Rattus norvegicus: one gene and its partner. The protein of the gene in region 1 binds, or shares a complex with, the protein of each later gene. Links are inferred from orthologs where the notes say so. Each region holds a gene or a part of one and is shown on either strand. Other genes may lie near its edges.

Region 1 (6,479 bases):
CCTATGCCTGTGGTCAATACTTCTGAAACACAGTCTCACAGAGGGTCTAAACTACAGATCTGCAATTCACATCGTTCACCTGACCTTCTGAGCTTCAGACATTCCTTGAACAAAAACAAGCTGAGCAGTCACTGTTTCCAGACCCTGGGCCAGTGCCAGTGGTGGATGTCCACCATGTCTCAAGGTTGCGTCTCAGGCTGCAGGCTGCAGACATACACACTTTATTCCACTGGACTGAAAACACTCGAAAAGCCAAGAGCGGGGTTGGGGATTTAGCTCAGTGGTAGAGCGCTTGCCTAGCAAACGCAAGGCCCTGGGTTCGGTCCCCAGCTCTGAAAAAAAGAAAAAGGAAAAAAAAAAAAAAAAAGAAAAGAAAAAGGAAAAGCCAAGAGCACAGAACCCAGCTCAGGCCACAATGTCCCCTTCCATTTCCTCTACAGTGCATGCTTATGACCCTGGCACTGACAGTAAATACTGTCCCCCTTATCATTAGGGGAGAGTGACAAGGTGTCTCTCCCACCCTGTTGCTCAGGTTGGACCTGAACTTCTGAGTAGCCAGAGTCATAGGAGTGTGACACTGCCTGACTTTCCAAGCTCTGTTGTAGGCTCCCTAACAGTGGAAGCCAGAGGCCCACATCGTGTCTGCCTTGCTCTCTGCTACTCCTCAGCACACAGCAGCTCATGATGCACACATCTAAGCAGTGATGCCTACAGCTCCAGATCGGTGCCTAGTAAGTGCTCTACAATAAGCACTTCCCGCTCTGGCAAGCAAGGCTCTGAGCTGTCAGGGCCCTTGCCCTGTGTCCTCCCTCCTCCTCCATAGAATGTAACAGTATAGCACTTCCAAATTATAAATAGATCTACCTTCAAAGGCACGTCTGTCATTTTCCCAATCTTAAACTAATAATCACGGGCTACTTATCAAAAGGAGACTGGCTGCGTTTACTTGAACAGAACAAGCATACACAAGGTCTCTAAGTCCAACTACACAGGAAGTTGTTTAAAGTTATACTGTTTGCTTATTTATTTACTTATTGGGGGAAGGGAGACAGGACTCTGTGAGTATGCTGGTTAGAGGAAGACTTGGTTCTACATATGGGTTCTAGGAATTGAACTCTGCTCCCCTAGCTTGGCAGCAGTCACCTTTAACCCCTGAGCATCTCTCCGGATCTTATTCACAGGAGGAGCCCACCAAGATACATTGCAGTCTACTCCATTTCCCCTTTTAACAATAGGACCTCTCCTACCAGCTCTTGTCATCAGTGCCATCTGTGAGCAACAGGTCCTAAGGAGCCTCCTTGGCCTCTCACTGTCCCAGCCCCACCACTGAGCACCAGCATCTTAATGCTCAGAATAATAACCTCAAAGTCAGAAGCCAGAGCTCTGTGGTGCGTTGACACTGTAAAGCACTTAGGGACAGTCGTAAGACTGCCTGCTGAGGGGATGTAAATAAACCCCATTTGCCTATGCACTCTTATCGGGACAGTGGACTTGTCTCCAAGAACAACCGTGGACTCCACTCCAAGTCAAATGCATTTAAAGTCTCTCCCCTCAGTGGGCACCCTGGAGCTGGCTAGCCACTTGCTCTACCACCAAGCCCGCTGCAAACCAACCCATGGTTGTCTTCATTATCTACGATGCAGCCCCATTCCACCACTTCTGGTTTGTCCAAACTACCCACACCAAGGCATCGGACTGTTCTAGCATAGTATGAACCTGACTATAAGGCAGTCAGAAACCACTCAGGGGACTAGGATACTTGAAAAACAAGTTCATGAGAAGGAGTGTCAACCTCCGAGTGGCTGCGCTCATAGACACATCCCAGATCACACCAAGCAATCTCCTGGTTTTCACTGAAACAGGGTCTCACTCTCAGTGTTGCCCGAGATGGCCTTGAATGCCTTAAACAGCTGAGATTACAGGTATGTGGCGCCAGGCCCAGCCTCCCCAGTCAAATGGCTCAGAGCTAGGCACTGTTCTAGGACCAGATAGACAGGGACAGAAAACACAAGGCCACAATCTCTGTCCCCAGAGAGCCGGGATCAGGTGCACAGGCTATACTACTGTCTCCCAATGGCGGTCTCCTAACAGGGGATCCACCCACAGTTTGCAGGGATGAGTGCTTGCCCTCCGCGGCCGTGCCCAAGCATCCCGTCATTATGGTTCTTGCAGAGTGTCATTATATCAGATATACACAGCATACAAGGAAGATGGCTGCCTGGAGGCTGCTTGCTGGGCATGCTTTCACTGCCCAAGAGTCTCGCACAGACTGAACAACATTTTGAGTCAGTTACAATGAATGCTCCAGCTTTTCTTTACCCTGTCAAACGGAGAAAGCAAAGGCCTAGAGGACTCTGGGGGACTAAGTCCCATCTGGTCACCCTCTCCTGGCACCCTCTCCTATTTCCGTGCTGGGGGCACACATAGAAAACTTCAGTCTACTTTGAAGAATCTCACCCAAAACTGTCCTGGACAAGTCCTTCCCCGTGCAGACTAAGATCAGGGTTTCAGACTCCCAGGCCAGTTTTCAGCCAAGAGCAACAGTATGAAAAACAGTCTTTGCCTATGCTTTTAAATCGATATATAGAAAGTTTATTAGCCAATCAGATTTAGTCACCCCCAACTCAATGGCTGCACCCTGAATTAAACAAGGAACAGGGCTCCTCAAAACCATCTAGGGTCCAAAATCCACTCCTACTGGAGGGGAGCCCTCCGCAAGGCTGTGATGTTCTGCATGAAGCAGGTGGATGGCCTTCCCTCTCAGTCTACCTTACAAGGCTTCCTTGACCACGTGAGGTAGCTCTCTGGCCCTTCCACCTAGAAGGTGGGCCTGCTCTGCAGGTATCCAGATGGATTAGGGGGTGCAGGGATATGGGGGAGGGGGGGAACGACACACCTAGGGCTCCTCAAATAAGTTATGAGCATAGAGGCCTGACTTCATTACCAAAACAAACACCATGAGTAGAGTGAGGTAGTTCTCGGGCCGCTCACCTGATCAGCGGCACCTCCATAATCAGCAGTTCCAACCCTTACAAGCTGACAGTTCAGGGGGAAAGGAAGGCTGCGCCTGCTAGGATGCATCATGTCCAGGCTGAAGGATGGGCTGCTGAGCTTGGTGTCCCCCAGCCCCAAGGCTGTGGCCTCACAAGAGCGATTGTGAGTTCACCCCTGTCCACTTGGCTTACCCACCGTCAGCACTCTGCTCCCCGACTCAGGCAGGGCACCCCTAAATACGCGCTGTATTAGCTGCTCTAGGGCCTCCCAAGGGAAATGCCCTGCTCTGCCTTCCGGGCACACAGATGCCGCCCTTCTCTCCCTTGCTCGCTTGTTCACTCACACCGAACCTAAGCGGCCTCCCCAGAAAGGGGCAAGCCTAGGAAAGGCACAGCACCCGGACTACCCCCACCCTGGTTGGGGCTCTCCCCCGCTCACCAGAGGCTGCCAAGGAAGAGCCTCCTAGGAACAGGGGAGGGGACACCTGGGTTAGGAGCAGGACACCGAGCAAGCAGGGTCTAGATGGGAGGGTGAGGGTAAGAGCAGCGCAGGGCTGACGCAGGCTAGGTTTAAGTCGTGAGAAGTCGGGGGAAGGGGACCGCTAGGGCCGGGGGTGGGGGGGAGCTGGGGGTAGGGAGGTGCAGGAGGGGAACACAGTCGGAATAGAGAGGGCAGACTTGAGGACCACGGAGAGGAGAGTCCATCAGGGTGGAGGAAACAAACCTAGGCTGAGTTCACTGGAAAGGGATCGTCGAGGCGCAGGCTGGGGCCATGGAGAGAAGAGTTTGGGGAAAGGGGCCTAGACTGGGCCACAGGAGTGAAAACCACGGTCCTAGCTTGGGCCCTGGGACCGAGGCAGGGGCCCAAGTTCAGCCCATGGGATGAAGGCCTGCGAGAAGGGTGCTTGGAGGGAAGGAAGGTCTAGCCTGGGATAAGCGAGACTAGTCTGGACATGCGGGGGAAGAACTCGGCTTCACATGGAGCCCAAGGCGAGGTCATAAGCTATAAGGACCTCCCGCCGCCCACTCAGGACCCGAAGAGTGGCGTCTGCCTAAGGTCCCGGACCCCGCCCCTCCCCCACCCCGGATCCCCACCCTCCCCGGGCCGGCGGGTCGGCGAGAGAGTGGACGCAAGCTCCCGCAGTGAGGGGGTCCCGGGATAGAGCCATGAGGGGGTCTCTTTACCATGGTGGCGGCGGCGGCGACGGTCCCAGTCCCGGCGTCTGTGGCTCTCCCCCCCGCAGCAGGGCCCGGCGCTTCCACTTCCCCGGGTGCCCAAGAGTGAACATCCGGGTCAGCGCCCCCCTCCCCCTCCCCCCCGCGCCGGGCAGCCACCACCTTCCTCCCCGCCCCGGCCATCCCGGCCCGCCCCCCAGCCGCCAGCTCGCGACCAATGAGCGTGCGGGGCCGCAGCGATCGCCAAGTATGGAGCGCCGCGCGGGAGGCGGGGACGGGGGCGGACCCTGCGGTCGGGTGGGCGTGTCCTGTAGAGGGAGGGGCGGGCCAGGCGCAACGGTCCTGCGCGACCAGGGCTGCGGTGTTCCGGGGGCACAGCGGCTGCTTGTGTCTCTCCTCTGACTGTCAGCCTCGCTTCTTGCAGCTGCAGGCCGCGGGGTAGCTGAGGGTGGAGCGGTTCACTGGTTCCCCTGAGCAGAGGATGCGGAAGGCGCTGAAACTAGGAAGGGACCGGCCCTCCTCGCCCCACCCGGACCCGGAACTGGCGCACTGGACGAGGCCCGGCCCCCAAAGAGCGAGGAGAACCTGCAGGGGGACCTGGCTCAGCCGCCCCTGTTGCTGAACACCAGCTATCACGACCAGGCGGGCTGCCTTTAGGTACCAAAAGATGACAGGTGGATAAGCCATAAGGATCTCCTGCCCGCACTTCATAGCTACCAGAGTAGTTGTAGGAAGGCAAGGGGGTAAAATGATTAGAACATTTGGATTCAATAAATGCTGGCTGTTCCATATACTTTTTTTTTTTTTACATCATCTGCAGAGAATCAGCCCTCTTCCCTAATGAGTCGCTCTCTCGAACCATATAGTGACTCAGAAATCCCTTTGTTTTCAGGTCTGAAGATTGAACATAGAGTCTCAGGCATACTAGGCTAATGCTCTTCCATTGAATCGCAGCCCCAACCAAAAATTGGCTGTTCAAAAGAGTAAATTTTGTTTTGTTATCTGAAGGAACTCAAGAGACCTAGAGTTGCACATTTTGCTTATAATAATCCCCTATACAGCTTGCTCCCCCCACCCCCGTTTAGAGTCATATCAGGTCATGAGAAGGGGTCATAGAACTTCATCTGAGGCAAACTGTGCCCAAGGCCTCTGAGCATGATCATAGTCAAGTGAAAGCTTGCAGGGACAGCCACCAGCAGAGAAAGCATCCAGGTAAGTCCCTCAAGAATGACACAGACTGGAATTACAGGAGTTCAGAGAAGGGAGTGGCGCTTAGAAAGTCATTATGCCGGAAGTATTTATTGTGTAGCTATTGGCCAAGCACTATGTAGGCAGCCTGTAGAGATTACAGCTATGAGCAAAATAGCCCATGCTGGCATAGAGCTTGTGGGTGAGATTTCACTTCCAGGAATAGAGAGAGCCTTCTGCATGCTGGGTAAGCACCTCTGCCCTTGAGTTAGGGCCTCTTCGAGCTTGAAACCTGGCTGGAGACAGTTAACCTTTCTAGTAACGTGTTGGGGCTGAGATGTGGAAAACCAGAGTGGATAGAGCAGGTAGACAGACAAGCACTGTGTGGAGAGAATTTGGAGCATGGTTCAAGCGGGCTTTAACTCAGGAAGTAATGTTTGATCAGACAGCTGAAGGTGGGTGTGGAGCAGACCGTGTGTCTATCGTCAGTCAGCACACAGGACAGTGACAGCAGAGATCCCTGTGTTTCCACAGAAGCCACTGAGGCCAGCCTGAATTCTGTGTGGACAGCAACAAGCTCTGACCCGGGTCCCCACACTGCAGTGAGCCTGCTGTGTGCTGGATGACAAGGTGTCGAGGGAGAGCCTCAGAGAGCTATTTGTGTGTCCCAGACAGTTATTTCGATGTCAGAGGAACAATACCTGAGGTCACCCTCTGGTTTCCACACACAGGCATTCCTGCATGTAAACAGACAGAAAACACCTATATGCGCACAGGAATGTTTTTAAAGCACTCATATTGGGGCTAGAGAGGTGCACTGTGGGTAAAGTGCTAACTACTTGCATAAGGACATTTCGGATCGACAGCATGGGAAAGCCAGGCTCACATGTGCACTACTTGTAATTCCTGATGCTGTGTGAAAGACAGGAGGATCTTGGGCTTGGTAACCAGCCAGCCTAGCCAAATGGCAAACTTCAGATCCAGTGAGAAGGCCTTTGGTGGCATATGCCTATAATCTCAGCACTCGGAAGGCAGAGACAGGAGGATCTCTGGGAGTTCAAGGCCAGCCTACTCTACATAGCAAGCTACAGGAGAGCCAGGACTGTAGAGAGAGAAAACAAA
Region 2 (5,154 bases), on another chromosome or scaffold:
TTAACCTTTAAAAGCATGTCTCATGTCTCTGGTACTTGCTCCTTCTGACTAGGCCCAAATCTCTAGAAGTTTCCAGAAACTCCCCCAAATAGTGGCATCAGTTGAAAACTAAGTATTTAAAACTGGCCCTTTGCCATATGATGGGATCATCTCATCCCATCTTCAAATCATCCAGATAGATGGTGTATAGAGTATGTCCTTTAATCATCTGCAGCAGCCACTGTACATGCTAATCTGAAATGTTGTCCCTAAGCTGGTGGCCTCAGAGGTCTCCAGGGGGTCATGAGTGTATAGCTTTTATGAGCGGGAGTAGCAAACTTATAAAAGAGATTCTGGAGAACTGCTTTGCTTACTTTCAAGGTGTGCTGTGTAAAAAGGAACATTGCCCATGGGGAAGCAAATATTGTCTCAGCTTGCATCTCGGTCTTGGATGTTCCAGGGTCAGACTGGTGAGCGCTAATGTTTTAGTATCAGCTACTCATTTAATGGTAATATTGGTTTATTTTATTTTATTTATTTCATGTTGTGTGAATGGAGTTTGGGGCAGGGGGATTTCTGGGGGTCACAGGACAACTTGTGGGTGTCGATTTTTTCCCACCATGTGTGTTCTTGATGGAGCTCAAGTTTAGAAATGGTAGCAGGGGACTTTACAACATGCCATCTCCCAGACACACACTTCACAGTATTTTACTGTAGCAGCCTGAGCACATCAAGATGTTTTATGTCTTGATGATTGAGCAACTTGAGACCTCTTATATTTTTAATGTACAAAGGGAATAATGCTAGAACCAGGCAGATGATAAAGTATTGTTTGTAAAACATTAGTATGAAGTTTGCAACGAAGCAAGCATTACACAGGTTTGTAGGGATGACTTTACATTGACTCAGCTACACAGGGTTTCTAGATCCTGCTATTCTAGAAGCCCAGAGATTCACAATCCCACACCCTCCTTAGGAGGGGCACAGGAGGGATCAGAAAGGAGGTAGAAGCAATTTTACTAATCCTCCTCATTTTTATTATATGTGTCTAAGTGTTTTGCTTGTATGTGTAGTCAGTGCTGTGTTCTCTATAACCCTGTGAGCTCTGGGACTGTGTGGGTGCTGAGAATTAAACCTACCTCCTATGGTTGGATAGCCAGTGCTCTTAACTACTGCGTCACCTCTCTAGTACCATGACTGAGAGATTTGGTATTAGCTGGTTTTCATAGAATATCCAAACCCAATGTCATTTATTAAGGTTCATTCAATCCTGGTTGTTCTCAAACTGAATAGAGTAAAGTGAAGTAACATTTGAAGAGTGATGTGCACACCTACCCAGTTCCAAAGAGAGACTGAATTCACACACACGCAGAGACGCAGGCATACAGGTGCAGAGAGACACACAGAGTACAACCCCCCAACACACACACCACTACACACAGGCACACAAACACAGCAGTCATGTAGACTCCATCACGGCCACCTCCCCACTCTCGAATTATTTTAGGCTCTAATAAAAACCTCTGAGTTTGTTGTGACAGTTAACATTATGAAATGTATTTTTACCCTTTTTGCCATGTTGGTGAATACTGACTGGATAACATGATTTCTTGTTCTTCCCCCTCTTCAAACTGGTATAGGCTAAAGACAGGCTTAGTACTAGTCCAAGAGCTTCTCAGCACTATCTAAGCACTGACTTCCCAGAAAGCACTTTGGCTTGAGACGATAATGTGGAGCAGCAACCTTTTATATTATCCAGTTGCACAGCACACTCCTGGAGTAAATAACGTATCCTAATTTGGGGTACATCACCAGATTCAAGTCAGAGAGGATCCGTTGCCAGTCAATCAAAGTGCGTGTCACTGGAAGATCCCTCCGTAATATTTTCCTCAGGGCTTCATTAGACAACTCCTGTAGTTCTTCTATTACAGCAGCTTGAAACTTATTTTCTTGTTCTTCCACAAGCCTTGCGAAACTGAGAGCCAACTGGGCTTGGTTGACCACCTCCAAGCTCTCCTTGAGGTCCTTGGAGACTTCAACATGAAGGTTGACACATCTGAAGTAGTGAGCTTGCACAAAAATCCTTCCTGTCACTTGGGTTAGAAACGGGTTTACCTGGAAGATCCACTTAGACTTCCAAAGACCATTCCAACACTCTCCATTGTCATAGCTGTGGTCTTCAATGCAAGCTATTAAGAACTCCTTGTTTTTGACTGTTTTCCTCAGCACGTTGCAGTTGCCGTTTGGGTAGTGATCGTTCACGTAGAGTTTTAAGGCACACATAACAACAGATCTCAGGTACTCGGTCTCATTCCGAATGATTCCGTGGCTTTGGATGTCTCTCAGCTGATTCTGGAGCAGGTCAAACCTGAAAGAAAGTTTGCTCTGGTAGTCAAAGAACCGGAAGTCACCCATCACATTGTGGTGAGACAAGAGGACTGGATTGCCATCGATGCAGAGTGGGACACAGTATTTTTGGCAGTGCTGATGACCTGCGCACTCACCCTGGTGGTGCATGAGCTTCTCATCTCGGATAAGCAGACAGAGATCATCAAAGGCATTCACGAATTCCCCAGGAGGAGCCTGGATTAAGAGTCTGTGGATGACCTTTTCTTTGTCTTGCCTACTTAAGACGCTGAGTGACATGTCTAGTTTCAGGAGAAGCAAAGCTTCTGAAGTGAAGGGTGTTCACAGGGTGAGAAGAGGATCCATGGGATATCTTGCCCATTCAAGGTGTTAATCATTCAAGCTTTAGAGCAGTATGTAGGACCATGAAGAAGGGCAGTCAGTCAAGCTCTGCATATCCTGGTGAAGTCACAGAGAAGCATGGAACTTGTAGTGATGTCACAATTGAGTGCTCAGAACCAAAGAAGAAAATGATAGTCACCTGACGGTATGGGGTTCAGCCAAGAAGCTATAGCAACTGTGAAGGTTTTAAGAACTTAGCTTCTGGACAAGTCTTCTTCATAAGCGGTATGTGTTTTTCTGTGTCTGTTACGTGTTGTTGGCAGTCTGCAGAAGTTGCCTGGGGTTTGAACTGACTTAGCGTTGGATAGTCTGTGGTCTCTTCAACTGTCATATGGTACTGATCTCCACTCAGGCCCTTAGAATAGCTGCCCCACCTTCAGGGTAAACATTGTGATGAAAGGCTTGAGGGTTAGAAACAAAATAAAATGAAGATACTATGAAGGCTGAGAAATCACCAAGCTTGACAACCATAGTTTGGTTCCCAGGACCCAGATGATGATAGGAGAGACAGGACTCCTATAAATTGTTCTCTGACCTCAATGCACCATTACAAAAAGGGCACACACACACACACACACACACACACACACACACACACACACACACACACAGAGTTTATTGAAAATGTGGGATTAGAAACTCTCAGAACATAAGCAGTCAAGTATTTTAGGCAGGGACCACATCTTTCATGTTCCCCATGCCCTCTTTTTGTGTTATGTGTGTCTGCTTTGAGCACAGGCAGATCTGCAAGAGCAAAGGCAACAGGCTGTGTGTTCTCTGCCTTTTCCCTAGAAAGGAGGCAGCGGTGAGAACAGCTGATGACTATCGTAAAAAGGCAGAGTTACTTCTAAGATTAAGTGACACCTTAGACGAAGAGCCCTCTATGGGAGGACACGCGACCCAGATCATGAAATCATGGAGAGCCATTATGAGCTCGCAGAAGCAAGATATCCATTCTGAAGGTCTCTCTGTCTTGTTTCCCCCCTTGCTTTGTTCCTTTCTCTTCATGTGACTCTCCCTCTTTTCACAGAGTCCTGAACTCATGTCTGCCATTTAAGTATGAACCTTCTGCTTGTTTTCACAGTCCTAAGCCTTTCTGGGTTTCCTTAGACTACTGTATTTTACCGTTGTTCTTGTTATGATAAGAAAAATGCATTTTCCATATTGAGCCATAGCCATTAAGGTTAAGAATTACTCATTAGTTTTAACAACTTAAGATTGAGCGGAAATTGGAGCAACTATCACCCGTAGGACATTTGACTCGCATAGTAATTACACCAGTCAGAGTCACTACTGAACGCACAGTAACCTATGTTTAATAATGTTTTATGAATGTATCCAATGCTCTGACTTCTGTAAGATTAAGTGTTGATTTTCTCATCTTTCTTGATGAGAGAGGTCAGGTGGGTGAGAGAATCTCGGAGTCCATGAGCTCTCAGGATCAGACTTTCAGACAAATAGTGTATAATAATGGAATAATGAATTTCCCAAGTGCTGACTTTATTTCTCCATTTTTTTAAAAAACAGATGCTATCCTGTATTTTAACTGGGTTATGCCTTTTTATATCTCTCACACCTTTCCTGTAGTTGAAAAAGCTAAACTATACTTTATCATAAATAGTATTTATTTACAACTGTCTGAGCATAGGGTAGATGAACCATTAAGGCCACGGACAAAATATTTCTTTAAGGATTTTTAAATCCCTCAGTGAGTGACTTTGAGAATTTCCTTAACTCTCTGTGCTTCGTACATGGTTTATGTCAAAGATTCAGGATTATTTTAGAGGTGGAAAAATCAGCGCTGGAATTACTCACAAACTGCTCGAGAAACTTGATTTCCCATGCCATTTTGCTCATGTGAAACGTATTTTTAAGGTGAGATGACACCCTCTCCCCACTTGTTCCTCTCTATAGTTTATGGCAGTGTAAGTAGACATTAGTAGATACTTCAGTACTTGAGAAAATACACATGGAGCCGGAGAGATGACCCACTGGTTAGGAGCACTGACTCCTCTTATAGAGGCCCTGTGTGTAGTTCCCAGCATGCACTTGGTACCTCACAACTGCCTGTGACTCTAGCTCTAAAGAACCCAGTGCCTGGTCTGACCTATTCCAGCTCCCTGAAGTACATGGCGCACATATGCCCTCAGATACATGAACCTAAGTCAGTGTTGGAAAATACATGCAGAAAAAAAACAGAATAAACTAATGGCTGTTACAGTTTGAAATAATGCCAGGTTATTGGCTTGGAACAATTTCCAGAGTATATAGAAATGGTCACACCAGATCTGGGATAAAGGTCAACATTAGGACTGTCTGAACTGGGATTAAATGTAAAAAGTGAAAGGTCGTACTTCATCTTGATGGCATGGGAGAAGTAAAAAGCTCCAATGAACAGAGTAATGGAGGCGGGCACAAAAGGTGTTG

Evidence for each region. The genes of interacting proteins can lie anywhere in the genome.
Region 2: Capzb (region 1) and Capza3 share a complex: the UniProt entries of both Homo sapiens proteins name them as parts of the WASH complex. The link is inferred for Rattus norvegicus from reciprocal best matches to the Homo sapiens genes CAPZB and CAPZA3.

The regions. Positions count from the first base shown.
Region 1 is NC_086023.1:156,716,705-156,723,183, reverse strand, and holds the start of Capzb (F-actin-capping protein subunit beta), read right to left. Parts: upstream 4,182-6,479; coding exon 4,179-4,181; intron 4,123-4,178; exon of another isoform or gene 3,085-4,122; coding exon of another isoform or gene 2,992-3,084; intron 1-2,991. UniProt on the Homo sapiens protein: F-actin-capping proteins bind in a Ca(2+)-independent manner to the fast growing ends of actin filaments (barbed end) thereby blocking the exchange of subunits at these ends.
Region 2 is NC_086022.1:174,658,020-174,663,173, reverse strand, and holds Capza3 (F-actin-capping protein subunit alpha-3), read right to left. Parts: upstream 2,729-5,154; 5' UTR 2,626-2,728; coding exon 1,726-2,625; 3' UTR 1,515-1,725; downstream 1-1,514. Other genes in the region: Plcz1 (1-phosphatidylinositol 4,5-bisphosphate phosphodiesterase zeta-1), read left to right, coding at 3,643-3,674, 4,479-4,602. UniProt on the Homo sapiens protein: F-actin-capping proteins bind in a Ca(2+)-independent manner to the fast growing ends of actin filaments (barbed end) thereby blocking the exchange of subunits at these ends.